Drosophila melanogaster: one gene and its partners. The protein of the gene in region 4 interacts with the protein of the main gene of each other region in a pairwise test. Each region holds a gene or a part of one and is shown on either strand. Other genes may lie near its edges. The genes, in order: scaf6, CG17163, CG3557 and Cpr76Ba.

The links.
Region 1: the proteins of Cpr76Ba (region 4) and scaf6 interact in a two-hybrid assay, tested with the Drosophila melanogaster proteins (one large-scale study listed by BioGRID).
Region 2: the proteins of Cpr76Ba (region 4) and CG17163 interact in a two-hybrid assay, tested with the Drosophila melanogaster proteins (one large-scale study listed by BioGRID).
Region 3: the proteins of Cpr76Ba (region 4) and CG3557 interact in a two-hybrid assay, tested with the Drosophila melanogaster proteins (one large-scale study listed by BioGRID).

What each region holds. Positions count from the first base shown.
Region 1 is NT_037436.4:17,036,561-17,044,194, forward strand, and holds scaf6 (SR-related CTD associated factor 6), read right to left. Parts: upstream 6,015-7,634; 5' UTR 5,900-6,014; coding exon 5,878-5,899; intron 5,714-5,877; coding exon 5,543-5,713; intron 5,481-5,542; coding exon 5,134-5,480; coding exon of another isoform or gene 5,125-5,133; exon of another isoform or gene 4,374-5,124; intron 4,042-4,373; coding exon 3,879-4,041; intron 3,651-3,878; coding exon 3,578-3,650; intron 3,071-3,577; coding exon 2,996-3,070; intron 2,774-2,995; coding exon 2,697-2,773; intron 2,634-2,696; coding exon 2,435-2,633; intron 2,373-2,434; coding exon 1,371-2,372; intron 1,314-1,370; coding exon 1,146-1,313; intron 1,075-1,145; coding exon 760-1,074; intron 696-759; coding exon 524-695; intron 471-523; coding exon 372-470; 3' UTR 299-371; downstream 1-298. Other genes in the region: beg (bad egg), read left to right, coding at 1-278; Papst2 (PAPS transporter 2), read left to right, coding at 6,506-7,357, 7,414-7,595.
Region 2 is NC_004354.4:23,080,319-23,084,238, reverse strand, and holds CG17163 (uncharacterized protein), read left to right. Parts: upstream 1-1,529; 5' UTR 1,530-2,109; coding exon 2,110-2,169; intron 2,170-2,236; coding exon 2,237-2,323; intron 2,324-2,379; coding exon 2,380-2,607; 3' UTR 2,608-3,368; downstream 3,369-3,920. Other genes in the region: CG17168 (uncharacterized protein), read right to left, coding at 1-512, 836-1,395.
Region 3 is NT_033779.5:2,384,244-2,387,480, reverse strand, and holds CG3557 (uncharacterized protein), read left to right. Parts: upstream 1-1,688; 5' UTR 1,689-1,778; coding exon 1,779-1,974; intron 1,975-2,029; coding exon 2,030-2,649; 3' UTR 2,650-2,720; downstream 2,721-3,237. Other genes in the region: PIG-Wa (phosphatidylinositol glycan anchor biosynthesis class W a), read right to left, coding at 2,750-3,237.
Region 4 is NT_037436.4:19,517,035-19,520,236, reverse strand, and holds Cpr76Ba (cuticular protein 76Ba), read left to right. Parts: upstream 1-1,904; 5' UTR 1,905-1,961; coding exon 1,962-2,576; 3' UTR 2,577-2,685; downstream 2,686-3,202. Other genes in the region: Cpr76Bb (cuticular protein 76Bb), read right to left, coding at 1-542.

The DNA of each region.
Region 1 (7,634 bases), 2.5 Mb from region 4:
AAGCCCTGAAAACGGTGCGACTTCAGGACCCCGTCATTAGAGTGTACTCCAATGTGGATGGCAAACCCTATCGCCATGCCAAGCACATCCTAACGCAGCTGCCCAAGCAAATCGTGAGGCCCGTCAAGTGGGAGCAGACTCTCCACGAGATGTACGAGCGCAAGCAGGGCGTCGACTTTCCACGCACCTTCGAATGCGGTCCTGGCAAGGGCCTGGTCCAGGTCCTGGAAAAAGTAAATGCCAAGGCCGCTCAATCCAGCTTTAATGTTATAGCCTAATCTTGTATAAAAATTCAGTTCGCTTTTATAAAAATGTATATTTTCTGGGCTAAAGGAAACAAAAAACTGGGAAGTTATGACCGTTGGCAGATCCTAACTCTTGTCGTCTCGCGATCGCATCCGGTGCGCGAAGGCAGCTCCTTTGTTCTTCCGAAAGCTCTCGAAGGGATCGTGCATATTAGCGCCCACTCCCTGTGGATAGAAAATTATAAGTTGTCCTTTCTTGCGCACTCTTGCCACTTCACCTTGTACATCTCTCGACGATCGCGCACCTCGCCTCCCGAAATGGGCGTGTCGATGCCTTGATTCTTTGAGCCCAGTCCAGTTCCCGTGCCCGCCCAACCCATTTTCATGAGCATTTGGTGGCCCTTGTTCGATTCCTCGATGAAATCCGCTGGCTTGGCAAATGTGCTTCCCCTGGAAAAACAAAGATAGCTCATTGGTCCGACTGTCATGAAATTGTACTATAGCCATGATTTACAGAAAGCTCGGAGGTGTTAGAGATCTGTCGCGGTCCACTCGTCTTAGGTTGGTGCTGTTGCCATTGTCTCGGCTATTGGAATTGCCACGATCACCACGGCCCTCTCTGGTATTTGTGCTGCCGCTGTTGTTGTCCCGTTCGTGGCGAGGAGATCGATTGCGACCCTTGCGGTTGTTACCACCGCCCAACCTGCTCCGATTCATCGGTGGCGGCGTTAAAGAGCGCTCCATGGATCGCGAGCGGGATCGGGAGCGAGACAACGATCTATCTCGATGGGGCGGCGTTTTTGAGCGGGAGCGACTGCGACTCTTGGATCTGCGCAAGAAAATAAGTGCAAATATTTCTAGTTTTTGTGTGAAAATTTTTGATGGAAAACCAACACTCACCGATAAACTCGCTTGTTGCTCTTTTTGGGTAGGGGTTTCTCGAGCACAATCGGACTTGGCGACCGCGACTTTTCTCGAATGCCGTCCTTGATTTCCTCTTCTTTTTGCTTTCGCGCCGCATTCTTCACCTTATAGTACTCATAGAGACCAAGCTTCTCCCAACCCTCACTGCAAGATAAGCCCATTTATAAGGAACGCTCAATAACATCAAATTGAAATACTTACTTATCCCTTGGACGATCGTGTGAGGGTGCGGAATAGAAGGCGTTCAATGCATTTGTTAATCGCTCGCTTTGTGGCGCTGGAGCTGGCAGTCGAATGTCCGCCGGATCGAGGGCTTTGTAGTTGTAATCCTCCAGACGAATGAGCGGCACCATGAGGCCCGCTGGCAGGTCGTAGTAAGGCGCTGTGGGTATTTGTGGCTCTCCGATCACAACAGGTTCTCCAGATTCTCCGTCGACCAATTTCTGTGGTTGCTGGCCATCTTCCAATGTTCCGTCTTCGGGTTTGTTGGTTATAACCGCGCGAATGGCTGCATTGAGCACATCCAGATCCACTTCGCTGCTATCAGCATTTTGCTGGCCAGGTCTAACAATATTCTGGGGATAGGCAGCCATTGGCGGCGGCTGCTTTTGCTGCTGCGGTTGTTGCTGCTGCTGCTGCTGCAGTTGGTGCTGTCCTTGTTGCTGAGGGTCGTCAGGATGGTGTTGCTGCTGCATCTGTAAGCACGCCTGAATCGCTGCACTGAGAACGCCAAGATCAACAGGTGGTTCATTGCCAGAACCCGGCGCCTGCATGGGCGGAAACTGTCCCGGTTGTGGCTGCTGCTGGCCCATTGCTGGGCCCTGATTATGATGCATGGGTCCGGGGAAGCCTGGTGGTGGTTTGGACATGTCCGGAATGAAGAAGTTCGGTCCGCGTGGATCCGCAAAGTGATTCCCCGGTGGTGGCTGCTGCTGTTGGAAGTTACCACCTGGATACATATTATTTCCCGCCTGCGGATGCTGCTGATCATGCGGCCCCTGGCTATTCATGTGCTCATGGTCACCCGGCATTGCTATTCGGTGGGACATCAGCGATGGTATGTTCTTCTGCTGATGCTGAAGCATGTGTTGCTGCTGGGACTTCTGGGCCACAATCTGCTGCTCCAGGTGCTGCGCCTGTTTCTCCAGCTGCACAATTTGCTGGCTAGCATGTTGGATAAATACATGATGCTGTTTCTGATAGCTGAAGCATAAGAGTTATGGTTTATTATGTGCTCTATTATGTTCTTGGACTTTTATACTTACTTATCCAAAGTCGCCTTGGTATTCTGCGTGAATTTAGCAGTTATATCATGATGTGTGTTCTGCAGATTGGTTTTGTACTCCTGCATTGACGAGTCCGGTGACTGAAGCTTCGAGATGACGCAGGCATCGAAGAACTTCGCCTTGGACTCCCACAGAGACAGCAGCTTGGCTAGCTTCTGGCGCTGGTCGGGGTTGCCAACTGTGGGCGAGGATAACACTATTAGAAATCCGTAAAGGAATGGATCGAAGTGGAAATACATACTCAAGTCGGCGCTGCAGAACATCGGAATGACGACGTTCTCGAGGCTGTTCTTCAAGTCATTGATGTTCTTGCGCATGCTGTAAATATATCGTTGGACTTAGGTCTCATCTCCTAGCTACTCTAAATGTCAAGGTATGATGTCCGAAGTCCGGTGGTCGGTCAGGTTCAGTCCAATTCTGTCAGCGTAGTCGTCCGCAGAAACTAACCCACAAAGTAGTCTTACTGCTCAGTGGGTTAGTTATTGAGGTCTATGGCCCTTAAATACTATACTATACTAATAATTGACTGGGCGAACTTACCAGTGATGGAGTATATCATTAACTAAATATATAAGATGCAATTTTTGCTGAAACGTTGAACCATTGACCAAAGCCCTAAAAATAAATTAACAAACGAAAAACATATTTTTCTAGTTCTCTGTATGCACAACAACATTGCCAAAAGTACTTGTTGTGCAAGTATAATGATTTTTGTTAGTAAATCTTCTTTCTTTTTGGTATTTGTGTTTTTTTTTTTGGTTTTTTTTTTTTGTCCGATGATTATCACTGTTAAGTGTTGGTGTGTTGTTGTGCGTGTTTATGGTTAAGCTTATTAAGTAAAATGATTTGTTTGGGTGTGTGGCCCTAGCTAAAAGACTTCCGGATCTGGGGACTACTCATATATGATCATAACATCTCTCGAAAACGAATCAACGAATCAATCTCGAGCCTCTCTGTGGAAGTCTCAATCGCACAATCGCTCAATCGATCATCTCTCACTTGTTTGTTCGATATTTCGTATTTCGTTTTTCTATGTTTGGTTAGTATTTCACTCGTTGAAAGAAAGAAACACAATTTAATTAATACATATTGCAGGTCATTAGGTATAAAACTGAGGCATACTTCTTTAAAAGATATTGTAAAACGACATTGATTTTTGCGCTGTCGGTTGAATGCTGTAAAATCCAGTTCTTGCCTAAAATTGCAATATCAAACGGGTTACTCATATTGTCATTGTCCATGGCGATTATAAATTAGGTTTAGGATTAATCAAAAAGTAGTATGGATTCATTTAGTGTGCGCTTTGTGTGCAGCAAAGCTGCGGAGCATCAAAAATTCAGCTCCATTAGCTAACTTATGACTGATTACGAGACTACAAACAAGCAATAATGTAATCCAGCCTGTCCGCTGAACTCGTATTTACCTGCAGAGATGCTGTCCTTCGTGCAGGACTCGATGATCGGCTGCAGAACGCCATCGAAGTCCCTCAGCACAATGCCCTGTTCGCCAGCCATCTGTTCCTGCTGCGCCGTCTGCGCCGCCGCAATTGCATCCTCGATCTGCTTGGTCTTCTGATTCATCAGGGCCTACAGGTTGGTTTCGTTTGGTTGATTGGTGCGATTAGGATCGCAAGCGTTGGTGTGGTTCGGATCGGTTCGGTTTGGTCATTAGGCACACAAAGGTTTGTTCGCATGCATATTCGCATTTTGGGATTCATTTGACAAGCGTTTCAAAACAAATTTGATTTTAGGATTTGTTTTTTTTTTGTTTTTATACAGTTTTGTCAGTTGGTATGAAGAGTGGTTTGATTTGGTTTTTTTTTTTTTGGTTTATGTTTCAAAAAATACAATAAAGCAAAAATTTAATGTAGCATTGTAAATTGTTAATTAAATAGTAAAAATAATGACAAATATAGATTGTAGTTTGATATTGCTGAAAGTACACTTTAACTTTATCTTATCCGCACTTGGAGAACAAGAACTGAGTAGATCGATTGAAAAAACATTTGGAAAAGGGTCGAGAGCAGGATTGATTATTCTGAGGAATTCGTGGATTAGTTTCATAAGAAACAATTTCAAGAGGGAAGTCACTTCCATTACAGGGAAATTCAATAGCGACAAGCAATAAGAAATGTCCTTCTTATTAGAAAGAATTTAGTTCACAGTACTTATAGAGTGAAAAGTCCACAAAAGCAGTTCATAATTATTAATATTAAACACCATTTGATGAACTCTTGTTCCAGAGTTGTTATTACAAAAACTAGGGAATACAAAACTGCCATCTATGAGTCTATGACAATATCTTTGGAAATCATTTAAGTCCGAAAGTATATAAGGGTTATACAAGTTATCTTCTCTCTTAAGAAAATAATTAAAAGCATTCTGGCTTAAAATCGAGGTATATTCACATTCGATTGGGTCGTTTAAAAGGGAGGTCAAAAATTCGAAGAAGCAAACACGTTCTTATATTCAGACTATAAAAGCAACTTTTAGGTGGGTATTTAGTTTAAAAAGGAAACCAATTTGCTTCTTTAAATTTTTGCCAGAGGAGGCCAACATTCAACATGAAATCATATTGAAATCTTTTCTTTATACACTCGAGCTGCTCTAATCTTTCGGAAAAAGGCTTGCAAAGGTGGGCATATAGAGGTATCCCAGTTATTTCCAACTTCAAATTACCGTGTGCTGTGCGGAGAGATTCGCTTCGGATTGCTGGATCTGTTCCCGCAGCGACTTCTGCTGCATCTTGATGGCTTCCAGTTGTGACGTTAGATTCATGGCCATGGGATTGCCATTGGCCTGCTGATTGTTTGGCGGCCCACCGTTGCCGGAGTTCGGCGGCCAGGAGTGCTGTGTTTGCTGTTGCATATTGTCTTGTGCGGTTTCGGGCGGGTGCGGTGGCTGCTGATTGGGTGGCGGATAGAGGCCCGGTGGTTGGGATTGCTGCATTGGCGGCGGATGTTGCATGTAGTGGCCGGATGGAGCACCTGGTGGCAGTTGTTGGTTAATGGCCTGTTGCTTTAGCACTGTATTGGGTGTTAAAAGGAGATTATAGGGGTTATTTTCCACCAATTTAGAACGCACTCACGAGCTTGTTCCGCTGCCACCCTGAATTGATAATAGTTGGCGAACTCCCCGCCGTAGAGGAACTCGAACTTTGGATTGTTCTGCTGCTTCTGCTTGGTTATCGCCTCGAATTCCGGCCCATTTCTGGCCACAAACTCCGCCAGTTTGTCGATAATATTTCGTAAACTGGCATCTGCAAATAGAAAGCAAATGGTTTTTGCAAAAAATGTGAGCATATCAAAGGTTGTGCGTGCGCTTGTTTGTTTGTATGTGTACACATGTGCATGCCAATCGACTTGGGCACAAAATTAGCTTGATTTTAAGTTATATTCAGCACTTTTTAATTGCTGCACTTACCGCGTGGCGGTTGCACGTCCATTTTGCGACTGTTATTAGCACTATTATCCTATGTAAAATACTAAATTCATAACTTTTTGCACTTTTTCAGCGGCACTTTTCACTGCTTCTTCTTGTTTTTTCCGACAGTGTGCCCATATCTTTGTATTCTTAGAACGACATGTAGTCAAATACTAGGAGTTACTCTCGGCACTACTTTTTAAGTAGTTTTTAGCGCTTATCATACGCTTTTTTGAGCAAAAAAGCGGCTTAAACCTTTATCGCTGCTCATTTGTTAAATGTATTTATTGCCAGTAGCAGAAGTTCCAATTAGAATGACGGTGGTAGCAGAGCTGCCAACTTGTTCCACGTTATACCGGTCTCTCTTCTATTATTACCACAACGTGGCAACGCCGCGCGTCTATCTCAGTTCTAAGCTGACAAAAATAGTTTATTTGTGGTAAACAAACATTTAGCCAGGGCAATTTGCACCCAACAGAAATCTCCACGCCGGCCCGTGATTAATGCAGCATCCGAGGAGGCATGACAAATCCGCACTTTAAACCGACAACTCCGCGGACAGCGTGGCATTGAATTACACGGGCTCCCTGGAAATATAATCTTGAAATAGCCACTATATAGTGTGTATATGTATATAGACACATCCGCTAGCAGCAGAATGACCGATAATAAGGGGAGCGTTATCACCATTAATGGCGGCGAATCGGCGGGAAACTCGCCGCCCTCGCAGCGGAAGTCCTCGACGTCGGAATCTCCGCCGGAACTCCGTATCCTTTGCTTTGACCTCACCTACTACAATCGCACAACTCAGTTCCTGCTCAGCTGCGCCGGCGTCTTCTTCCTGTACATCCTGTACGGCTATCTGCAGGAGCTGATCTTCACCGTCGAAGGATTCAAACCCTACGGATGGTTCCTCACGCTCGTCCAGTTTGGCTACTACATCGGCTTCGGTTTGGTGGAGCGGCGGCTGGAGGGCTATCGGATAAGCGGCGGTTCCTTTTGGAACATTGAGCCGGAGCCACGTTGCATTCCCATGAGAACATACCTAATTCTGGCTGCTCTCACGCTGGGTACCATGGGTCTGTCCAACTCAAGTCTCGGCTACCTGAACTATCCCACCCAGGTGATTTTCAAGTGCTGCAAGCTCATTCCCGTGCTGGTGGGCAGCATCCTCATACAGGGCAAACGCTACGGACTGCTGGACTTTGCGGCAGCCACCTGCATGTGCATCGGATTGGCCTGGTTCACGCTGGCCGACTCCCAGATGACGCCCAATTTCAATCTGCTTGGTGTGGCCATGATTTCGGGAGCGCTGCTCTGCGACGCAGCCATTGGCAATGTCCAGGAGAAGGCGATGCGGGAATTCAAGGCGCCCAGCAGTGAGGTGGTGTTCTACTCATACGGCTTGGGTTTTGTGTACCTATTTGTGATTATGCTGGTTACCGGCAACTTCTTCAGCGGCTTTGCATTCTGTTTGGAGGTGGGTAACATTTGAGGTTTATGATGTAAGAGATCTAAAGTGTATTATCCATTTAGCATCCCGTTGAGACCTTCGGCTATGGCTTCCTCTTTAGTTTGTCCGGCTATCTGGGCATTCAGTTTGTGCTGGCTCTGGTGAGGAGTAGTGGTGCCCCCATAGCTGCCACAGTGACCACCGCCCGCAAGGCTGTGACTATAGCCTTCTCCTTTGTGCTTTTCAGCAAGCCCTTTACCTTACAGTAAGTACTATTCTGTGTATTTCTAAAGACAAAGCTCTA
Region 2 (3,920 bases), on a different chromosome or scaffold from region 4:
CGTTTGCCGAATCCAGATCGATAAGGTACAATCGCACGCGTTTTCCGTGACTACCATCTTCCCGCTCGAAGGGCACCAGTCGATATTGCAGGGCTGCGTGTTGTTTGGAGCAACTAGGATGATCCACTGCCAGATCGACCACTTTTCGATCGCGTCCAACCAGAAAGCAACTCTGCCGATGAATATGGAGCGTGGGCAATGCTGTTTCGCCCTTGAACGGGTACAATCTCCAGCGCCGTTTGGGCTTGCGTGCCTCCGGGGGCTCAGAGTATTTAACCACCACACCGTTTAACTTATTAGTGTCCTCTGTTAACGCGCCACTTAGTCCGAAGTTGGGCTTTTCCTTGTCCACCGGCACGTCGTTCTCGGCTGGCACTTTTTCGTCGACTTCCTTTCCCCAGACGTAGTGATCATCCTCATTCTTGTTGCTGTTGTTGTGACGCTGATTTCGTTGGCGTCTCTGGTCAAGATCCCGCCCGCCGTGGCACCGATCTCGTGGACTTTGACTACGGCTGGGAATAAAGATAATAATAAGAAGAAATATACTAGCCATTCAGGGGTTGGACAAATATTTTTGCTAGACTGTCTTTAAATTTAACTAATTTAAAAAGTTTTTTTTTATATAACGCAAACCTTACTAATTAAAATAATTTAATAGTATTTTAGATGAAGTATAACTGAGCAGAATAAAAGTATAAATAGTAGCTAAGTTAAGCTAGTTATAGATTTAATAGGAATTATGGTAAAATCAGTTTATGTAATATATATATAGAAGAATATGGAATGAATTTTTACTTATTACAAGTTTTAGTACAGATGATTTACGAAAACCTACCGAACCGGGCGCCTTTCAGTAGGCCTCCGCTGGCGATCACGCTCCCTATTTTTGCGTTCGCTGCTCCTTGAACGATGCCGCAGAGCAGGCGAACGCTGCCAGCGCTCCTTGCTGGATTGCATGTTATAGTCCCGCTCTTTGTTTCGCTCACAATCCCTATCCCGTTCTCTCTCGCTACGCTCCCTTGAGCGACTCCGAGTGTTCCGGCGCTGCCTTGTACTGTTGCGATGGGAGTTGCTGCGTTCCGGACTGTCCCACTTAGAGCGCTGTTCATGTACGTCCTCCGACGGATGTGTTAACTGCTTGTGGCGTTTCTCCTGCGATTGAGAGGAGTCTCTTTGTCGCTTACCGGCTGTCCGCTGCTTTCTGTTAGGCGACAGGGAGCTGTGATTAGATTTTTTGCTTTCATTGGAGGAATCTGATGAACTAGAGGAATCGGCGGTCGCCCTTTGCTTAATCTTCTTCGTTTTGGATAAGTTGCGGTCGCTCATTTTAGTGTCCCCCTCGTGACCGGTGCGTTGCTGTTCCAGTTCATGCTCCTTGTTGCGTTGCTTGCTCATTTTACATATGATGCACGTCGAATTCCAGAAATCGATGGGAAAACAAACCAAAAATTAAAAAATGGGTCTTTTCTGATACGGTCAGCTGTTAAAACGAGAGTGACCAGAGGAAAAAAAATTAAGAGAAATTATCGTATTTCCTATCGAGTTTGCAGCCATATCGATTACTCTGAAAAAGTTTTTACAATTTAAAACACAAAGTCTTATAGAAATAAAGATTTTTGGGTGTTTCATATACAACTGCACCAATTTCGCCCAAGCAAGATTTCGTGGCTTTGCGTATCTCTCGCGTATTAATGTACATGTATATGTACTACTTAGGGATGAAGACGCTTAAAGCGCAGCCTGCCCGAATGAACAGGTTAAAAAACAGTACGAGTTTACCTAAAGGAGGACTGCATTAAAGGCACAGCCTACAGCTAGTTCAATTCAATTAATGCATTTTTTGCTCAAAACACATGTACATTTGCTTACACATGCATTGCGCGATAAGCTGTTTAAAAATTGTTTCTGTTAGCTGGTCGCACCTGGCCACACAGTCGAAAAGCCGTGCGAAAATCGAGAAATTCATAAAACCCGGAGGATATGCCAGTGGTTATTGCGGTGTAATCCTCCGGACCGCCATGCTGTTGTGCTGTGCGGATTGTAGCGGCATTTGTCAGTAGCAGCTGTTGCAGTTGCCTTACGCACAAAAGTGCGAAAAGGATAGTCACGATGACACCCTTTGATGACTTTGTCTATCTAATCAATCATGTGCTGCTGGGCGAGGAGCCGGTAAGTGGACTTCATGGGGCCAATACCATTTAGTACTCACAAGACATGCCTTTTCGGCCTTCTGTAGACCATCGAGGACTTCATACTGCTGGTAGGCACCCTGGTGGCATTTATAGCATTTATCCTTTGGTGCTGCTTCCCCATACAACCTAAGGTATGTATGTTCACTAGGCAATACGAAGTTCAAAACTTGTATTTGTACTTCTTCAGCAGGAGCGTGGCCCCCATCGCCAATTCACCTGCAAGATTATCCAGAATCCCATTAAGGCCTTTGACGCCTCCACCAGCACCGACGACGCACCCATTCCGGGAGGTGGCTCCGGAATTGGCAGCTCCATGTCCAACATGCAGTACAATGGTAGCGGAAGCTATAGCAAGAATGGTACTGTTGCCATGCACAATTACTACGTTAAGAACGGTCACCATTGCTGCACCTAATAATGGGCATTTCGACTAGCGGATTGAAAATGTCCTGAGCTGGACAGCGTGTTAGTTACCATTTAGTGAGCACAGCCATCTATATACGGAAGCATATTAATTAAGCTTTGTGCCAATGGGTTAGGAGGCAGCTTAAAGTTGCCATTTCGCATTTGCAGCATGTTTGGAATTTCTGAATTGTAATTGCTCAGACTGATTTGTTTATGGAACGTAGAAGGGTTGAGGAGAATAAGGAAGAAATGATGGGACAGGTGGCACGAGCATACTGTGCAGCCTCCAAGAAGCCCCTGGAAGTTTCAAAGACTTCCTTGATTTCTCTATATGTTGTATGCATTTGTTGGAATACCAGATGTAGTATGCGTACTGTGTAAAAAATATTGGGCGTACAAACCAATTAATTCTAAGTATTTTTATGTGTAAACGATTTGATTAGTCCCAGAGAAACTCCAAGACAACCCAATGCGTGCAAACAAAAACAAAGCCCTTTATTGAACTTATTTATATTTAGTGGTAATGGGGAAATAAAGTTTCTCCTTATATATTTACAAATGTACTTATATATCTTTAAGATAAATAGTGTACACGCCTAGATACACTCCAATTAATTAACTTTGGGTATCGTTCTACGAATTTTGCATACTGGATGTGTATTAAGGTGTATTTGATCTCATTCAATGATATTATTTGTGATGTAACAACTTCAAGGTAATTTCAATTATTCCCCTAAATGAAACTAAAAACCTAACGACAAACCGCCACCCAATTATCACTGTTTTATTTTTAAACTGGCTTCAAAGTCTAATGAATTGGCCCCTAGATAGTCTCGGGATCAGTTTGAAAGACAATTTAATAATAATATAATGATTCGGTAAGAATTGTCTTAAGGTATATTTATAAATTAATAATAATGGTATCAAGTATATTAGGCAGAGTTAACAAGTAGTTGCTAAAGCGCTAAGTATATACGCGGAATATCAACAGAACGTTTTTATGATGTTACGAATTTCTTCTGTCAGCGACAGGCCTGGGCAGAATGGGTGAATATCATGGACTCTTCCGGATAAGCGTGTAATATTTTCTTAACTGCTAGTATCTCGTTTTGTGCTTTGGTAACGGTTTAAACATTTGTTGGTTGTACTACGGGCCTTAAGATACACTCACGAAATAAATAGAAATAGCTGATGGAAGCCTCGTCTTCTAAATCTATAGACAGTCTTACGTATTAATTATATCGTAAAGTAGGGTTAGAAATACAGGATGTGTACTGCCTCTGATTCCTGGTTGAGTATTAAAATGATAATTACAAAGTACAG
Region 3 (3,237 bases), on a different chromosome or scaffold from region 4:
GACGCATAAGCTCCGATAAAAACTGTTGTTCGATAAGCATTTTGTTTGCCATGTGCCTGAAGTTGTTAGGGCGTCTGTGCCCCAGCCCAAGTCACGAACTTCTGTGGTAACGCAGTGGGCTGCTGTGAAGGATTGAAGGCGGAGAAACGCTCGAGGAAGCCATAACGAATCAGTTTTTGATGTGGAACTTTGAAAAGTTCTATGGAAATTGTAAGAAAATTCAGAATGCATGGAAGGAGGCGATTCAATCGCAAGCAACTATATATTGCTTAATGCTAGGGAAACTGAATTAAAACTGAATTTAAGTCCTTTAAACAGAACCATGTAGGTGTCCTGCCACAGAGGAGCTATAGTTCAGACATATATTGCACATTCTCCGCACATTTGCCGCTTGGCAAAAGGTCCTGCAGCTTAGTCACCACACTGCCACACACATGGACACACACACCCACATGTACACATGATATTCATTATGAACGGCTTAAGCGATTTCCCCAGGGCCCAGGAGCTTAGTCCTTCACGCAGCAGACACACTCATGCATATGCACAGATATATTTGGGTTTTTATTTATTTCTTTTTATGAAAGCCCCGCTGAATGGAATCCGATTTGACGAGCAGTCGAAAAAAGGAACTCGTCAGCAAATTGGCAGCTCGAAAAAAGATGCGGTAAGCAGAAAAACCAATTCTCTACCTGATTGTTGGCCACATCAATCAGGATGTCATGTTCTACATGCTGGGGAAAAACATGAACATAATAATTAACGCTCATAATTCGACTCTCCCCAAAAGTGGACAACAATTCGCTTCTTTTGCTAATGAAAATAATCTGTCATCAAAGCCAAAAAGCCACCCCCTATGGTAACAGGTGCTCGTGCTTCCCGCTCTCCTGTTTTGCCTCATCCTGTTGCTTTTTCCAGGACACGCCTCCTGGTACACTATATGATTATATTTGGTTCCCAGCTATTAACTCTGCATAGCTTGTGGGCAGGAAGGGTTGAAAGGTTGGCGGACGGAAATTGCATTTGTGCTGGCCCAAATCAGATAAGATTCACCGGCGACGCCCTCGTCCTTGGCCAGGATATGACATTAAAAGCGCATCAAAGTCGAATGGCGAGCAGAGGCTACGCATCAGCAGCGGAAACTGTTGCCGTAATTACATTCGAGTCGGATAGAAAAAATTCCAAAGACGTATGTTCGGCAATGCGAACGCCTGATACCCTTTTCAGTGAGGAATTTTTGAGGAATCTTATCATTAGTAATCTTGATCTTAATTAATCTTCATCAAGGTATCTAAGTCACGAAATGAAAATGTTAACTTAAAACTCTAAGGTTTGTAGATAGGTTTTCGTATAGTTAAACCTCCTTTCGATGTCCTTTCCTTTGACAATAAGAAGCACATTGCTGGTCATTTGCGCGGTCCTTTAACCCTGGTCGCTTGTGAGCTTAGCTTCCCCCGGAGGCTGAACTTTGATTTGGTCTTTGTTTGCGCCGTTAAATTAAATGTCCTTGCCCAGCCGTTCGGGATCTGTGCTCATCCTGGATGCCCAGGGACAATGCAAGCAATTCCAGTCATTTCCTTAATAGAAATCTTATCTTTTGTGACGCCTTCGCCGTGTGCCTAAGCCGGATATCGCACCTTTGACATCTGCCCATGGCTCCTGACAAAGCAGGTCCATGCTAAGCACTCAAATATCTCTTACTTCCGGTCCGGCTTTTTGGGAGAATATCATTTGGAAAAATTGGGTGTTTATTTATACCAACACTAGCAGACGAAACCATGAAATCCTGTTGTGCCACTCAGACGACGCGTTGTGAGTGTCCAACGGGTCTCAGATTGGGGAAGAAGCCGCAGGCTCCACTCTTCGACATGCTGGGCCCGCATCCAGATGAGGTCATCATGACGATCCTGGACCGCATCCTCTATCTTTCGGGCGCCACGAAAATAATTCCATTGCTGGAGTTGTCGAATGAAGGTCAGTAATCGAAGGAAGTAATATAAATGCGTCCATAGATAAAATATACCCGTAGGATCAGCTTTTAAGAAGGAATCCTGCCCACCACCAGCACCCTGTGCACCAAGCCCTTGCAGTTCCGGAAGCAGCTCGGCTTATCCATCTTCATCGGCCTGGAGTACATGCTGCTCCAAGCCGTCGACTATCTGTTGTTATCCCAAGCCAACGAGATGCTGCGCCAGTCCAAAAGCTCCACTAGTGCCCTGCAGTCCAATGGATACTCCGAAATCTTCCTGCTTCAAGACCGCGAGTCGGCTTAGTTCCGCTGCCTGTTGTCCCCGCCAGCGTACTCCCAGGGTGGACTTCGATCACCCGGCGGAGGATATTCCGTTGAGAAATAAGGCGGGCAGCGCCACGATAAGGGAACAGATAAGCCGATCAATTTCCACCTGCTCGGTGGCCTGTCAACAGCTGAAAGACAAGCTTACATCCCAGATTGCCCAAGGACACAAGGACCAAAAGTGGTTGTGGACCCGTTTGATTCGTGGCAACGATGGGTGCATGGTGTACGAGGTGTACAAGGATTCCGATGTAGACAACTCTCCCTCTAAGATCGGGTCGGAGGCACCCATCATCCTTTTTCTAGTCATGCCGAATGGTTGCATCATGCCCTTTGAGTCTATTTGTGGTCCTTAGGAAGATGGTACTCGTTTTGTATACTTTTTAGCCTGTGGTCAGTTAAAAATAAACTTTCACCCGTACTTTGTATTTTGCTATTTAATTTATACAACAAATACTAAGCTACACGTATGCCTTTTTTTAGCATAAGGAAGACCACTCCAGCACAAACAAACATATAGATGGACAGTATAACAACAGACTCCAGATCACTTCGATGACCCGGGTTCAGGGACATGTTGACCATTCCCGTAAGGAAATTGGAGATCATGAAGTGAGTCAGACCGTTCATGTTCAGACTTTCAACAAAGGTGGGCAAGGATATGTTCTTTTGCCCGTCATCTCTAATTGACTTTTTAGAACAAATATCTGGCCGTACGAGTTTCAGCTCAAAGAAGAACGCGTAGATCACAATTAGGCTTAGGGAGACAGCGAAAATCCAGATTACATAGCCAAAACTAAAAGTTACACGTGCTATGCCCGTTAGAAAAGAACTTATAAAAACCAATTTCCAACAGAGAATGGCCACGAAAAGAATACTCTTTAACTTTCTTATTAGTCCTTGATAAGTCAGGCTATCACGGGAAGTATACCACTTGGCAAAGT
Region 4 (3,202 bases):
CCGTATCCGCCATATTGCGCCACATCGTGACCGTAGCCGTAGTCGGCGTCGTAGATATCGCCGTGTCCGTAGCCCTTGTGGTAGACCTGGGGGTGGTGGGCGTGGCCGAGCTTCTTTACCACTGCGTTGAAGCCATTGTGGTCATCGGCGGTGTACTCCACCACTCGGGTGGTGCCATCCGATTCCTTGAGGGAGTAGCTGCCCTTGACCTTGTCGCCATCCCGCGTCTCCCACTGGCTCTTCTGGTCTCCGGTGTGGGCATCCTTGACGCCGTAGTCGAATTGGTACTTGGGATAGTGATGGGGCTCGTGCTTGTCGTATCCGTATCCGTAGCCCGAATGGCCGACACTCGGATAGCCGTGTCCGTAGATGCCACCGTAAGCGCTGACCACATCGTGATCGTATCCGTAGCCCAGGCTCTTGTGGACGGGTCCTTCGTGCTTGGTCACCGAACTGTAGCTGGTGGCGTGTCCACCATGGGGAGCTGCCCAACTGGCTCCCACCAGAAGGGCAAAGAACAGACCTCCGCTAAAGGATTTCATATCGGTCACTTATTCGCTGTTTTCCAATCGGAACTTTGATGATGTCTGCTGGTTCTTGGGGAGCTCACCTAGACTATATATAGCTATCGAAGACTCTGGGGCAATCAACCATCGGGTGGTCATTCTCTTGGCCACACCATTCACCAATCGAGCTAGCTGATTTGATAATTACCTCACTAACTCGTACTTATTATTATTGTTTCGGCCATTGAGCTCTATAGAAAATCGGCACATTTTATTTAAAGTCCAATCCGTTACAATTAAATTCTGCTAGTAATAATTAATAATATCAGATCCAAAAAGTTTTTGTTAGATCGTTCGATGTGTTTGGTATTCAGTCAAAGAGAAGGGAAAAACTAAGGCAAGAACTTATTGCTTAATTTACAAAAATTAATTATGACTGAGAATGTGAACTGATGAAGGCGGCAGCTTTTGCTTGAAGAAATAAGGAAATGCTGTTAAACTAACCAATAAATAAACTTTGTAGTGTTGTACTTTGAAATCCTTATGTAAATATCCAAAGCGAACCTATTTTGCTATAAATAATTATGTGTTTTTCCTAGAAATCTGTTGGCTTCAACATTATATTTATTATATAGTTATTAGTAGTTTTAAAACTTGAACTACAGGATTTCTTTTTATTTAATATGCATGTTATTCCTATAGATAGCGAAACAATTTATGCAAATAAACGTCTTAAAAATAATTAACATCAGATAACGTAGGCTAAATACCAATATGCTTATATTTTCACGCATTTCAAATTTCCGAGCTTAAAGTCTATTAGCCTTGTAAATTATATGCATTAAAAAACACTATCGGTAAGTTAACACCAATTCGGAAGCTCTGGGTGCCCCACAGCAGACCCCCTGGTCAGAAACACCAACCGATTGGACGGTCCGCCCAACGCTGCCCTCCCCTTCTCAGCCCCTTACCGCACCGTCCGTCTCAAGGTCATTTGGAGTGAAGTAGGCGAAAAAGAGGGTCCAACCGTGGAAACGCAGCGAGGCGAGGCGAGGCGGCTATTGCTGAGCAATTTGAAAGCGGGCCACACTTGTTGATTGATTTCTAAGCAACAAAATCGAAAAGCTTTGCGTTTTTCAAGCATTTGAGCGATGTTCACGCCCCGCTTAATGATGATGTTGTTGTTTCTGGCAAGTTTTAATTTGCCAATCGACCGACCGCCCAAGACTATGAATACGAATGGGGAAAAATGAAAATTTGCACAAAAATTCGAAGCATTTTTTATACCCATTTTTGGGGCTCTTACTTTTTTCTAGCCTATTTAGCCCGCAGTCTAAAATGTAATTAATCGATCCATAGAATGGCCAGAAGTATAAAAGCATTGGGCATTGTCTGGTGATTATAACAGTTCCAATCGTGATTTAGGCCAGGCAAGTCAATCAGAAACCAACGAAAATGGCCCACCAATTGAGCATCCTCTGCTGCGCACTTCTGGGAGTGGCTGCTGCTAGCTACATCCCTCATGGTGGATATAGTCACGAACACGGCGTGGGGTACAGCATCCAGACGCATCACGAGGCGCCCAAGCAGTGGCAGGATCACCACCAGGCTCACCACCAATGGGTGGATGTCCCAAAGGCCCATTCATGGGGCACAGTTCAGGATCATCACCACCAGCAGTGGGCTCCAGTCGCTGCGCACGATAGCCACCACCAGTGGAGCCACCACGAGGAACCCAAACACCATCCCAAATACGAATTCAATTACGGGGTGAAGGACACCAAGACCGGCGACATCAAGCAGCAGTGGGAGACCCGCGATGGCGACAAGGTCAAGGGAGGCTACACCATGAAGGAGGCCGACGGACGCACCAGGATCGTTGAGTACACCGCCGACTCCCACAACGGATTCCAGGCAACCGTGAAGCATGTGGGACACGCCAGTCACTTGGAGCACAGCCACTCATATGGCCAGCAATACGGACATGGGCATGGTCATGCCACCAGCTACGTGGATGTCAAACAGGACACCAGCAGCAAATGGGAGGACAAGAGCAACAAGTGGTGGTAGAGGAGCTGACCTAACTGACTGACTGCAAGCGATTCGGACCGACTTAATTATTGTAAATAGAACTACAAAATTGTTAACTTAAATAGTAGGTAAATATATCAAAGTGCAGAAAAAAGCTACAAATCAAACTACTTTACTATTTAAAGTTTTTACAATAGTTCTGAGATTTAAGACCACAACGAACACCGTTTATTAAATGAGAGAAACAACTTACCGATCCAATAATTCTAAGATACATTCGATACGGAGGATGTTGAGGCCTTAGTGTCTTGCAGCCTTTTTGTATTCTAGCTCACATAAGGAGGTTCGGAAGATCTTACGCACATCTTTTCTAAGGACTTTGAAGGCTTCGGCTTGTTCAGAAAAGTCCTTCCAAAAGTTATCATCAGAGTCCGGTAAAGATATGGTAAAGATGGTAAAGATATTCCTGATTTTCACAATTTTTTAATTCATCTACATCGCCGTCGCTGTCGTTACTTAAGTTCCCCTGCTTATTCGACTCGATCTCGATGCCCAGAGTCATTGACTTCGAAACGAATGCCATTGAAAGTTTTTTCGGACCTCCCATTTTTGATATTATTAATCTGCTGAGACAGAGAAACAACGCCTGAGAAATCCTATTTATT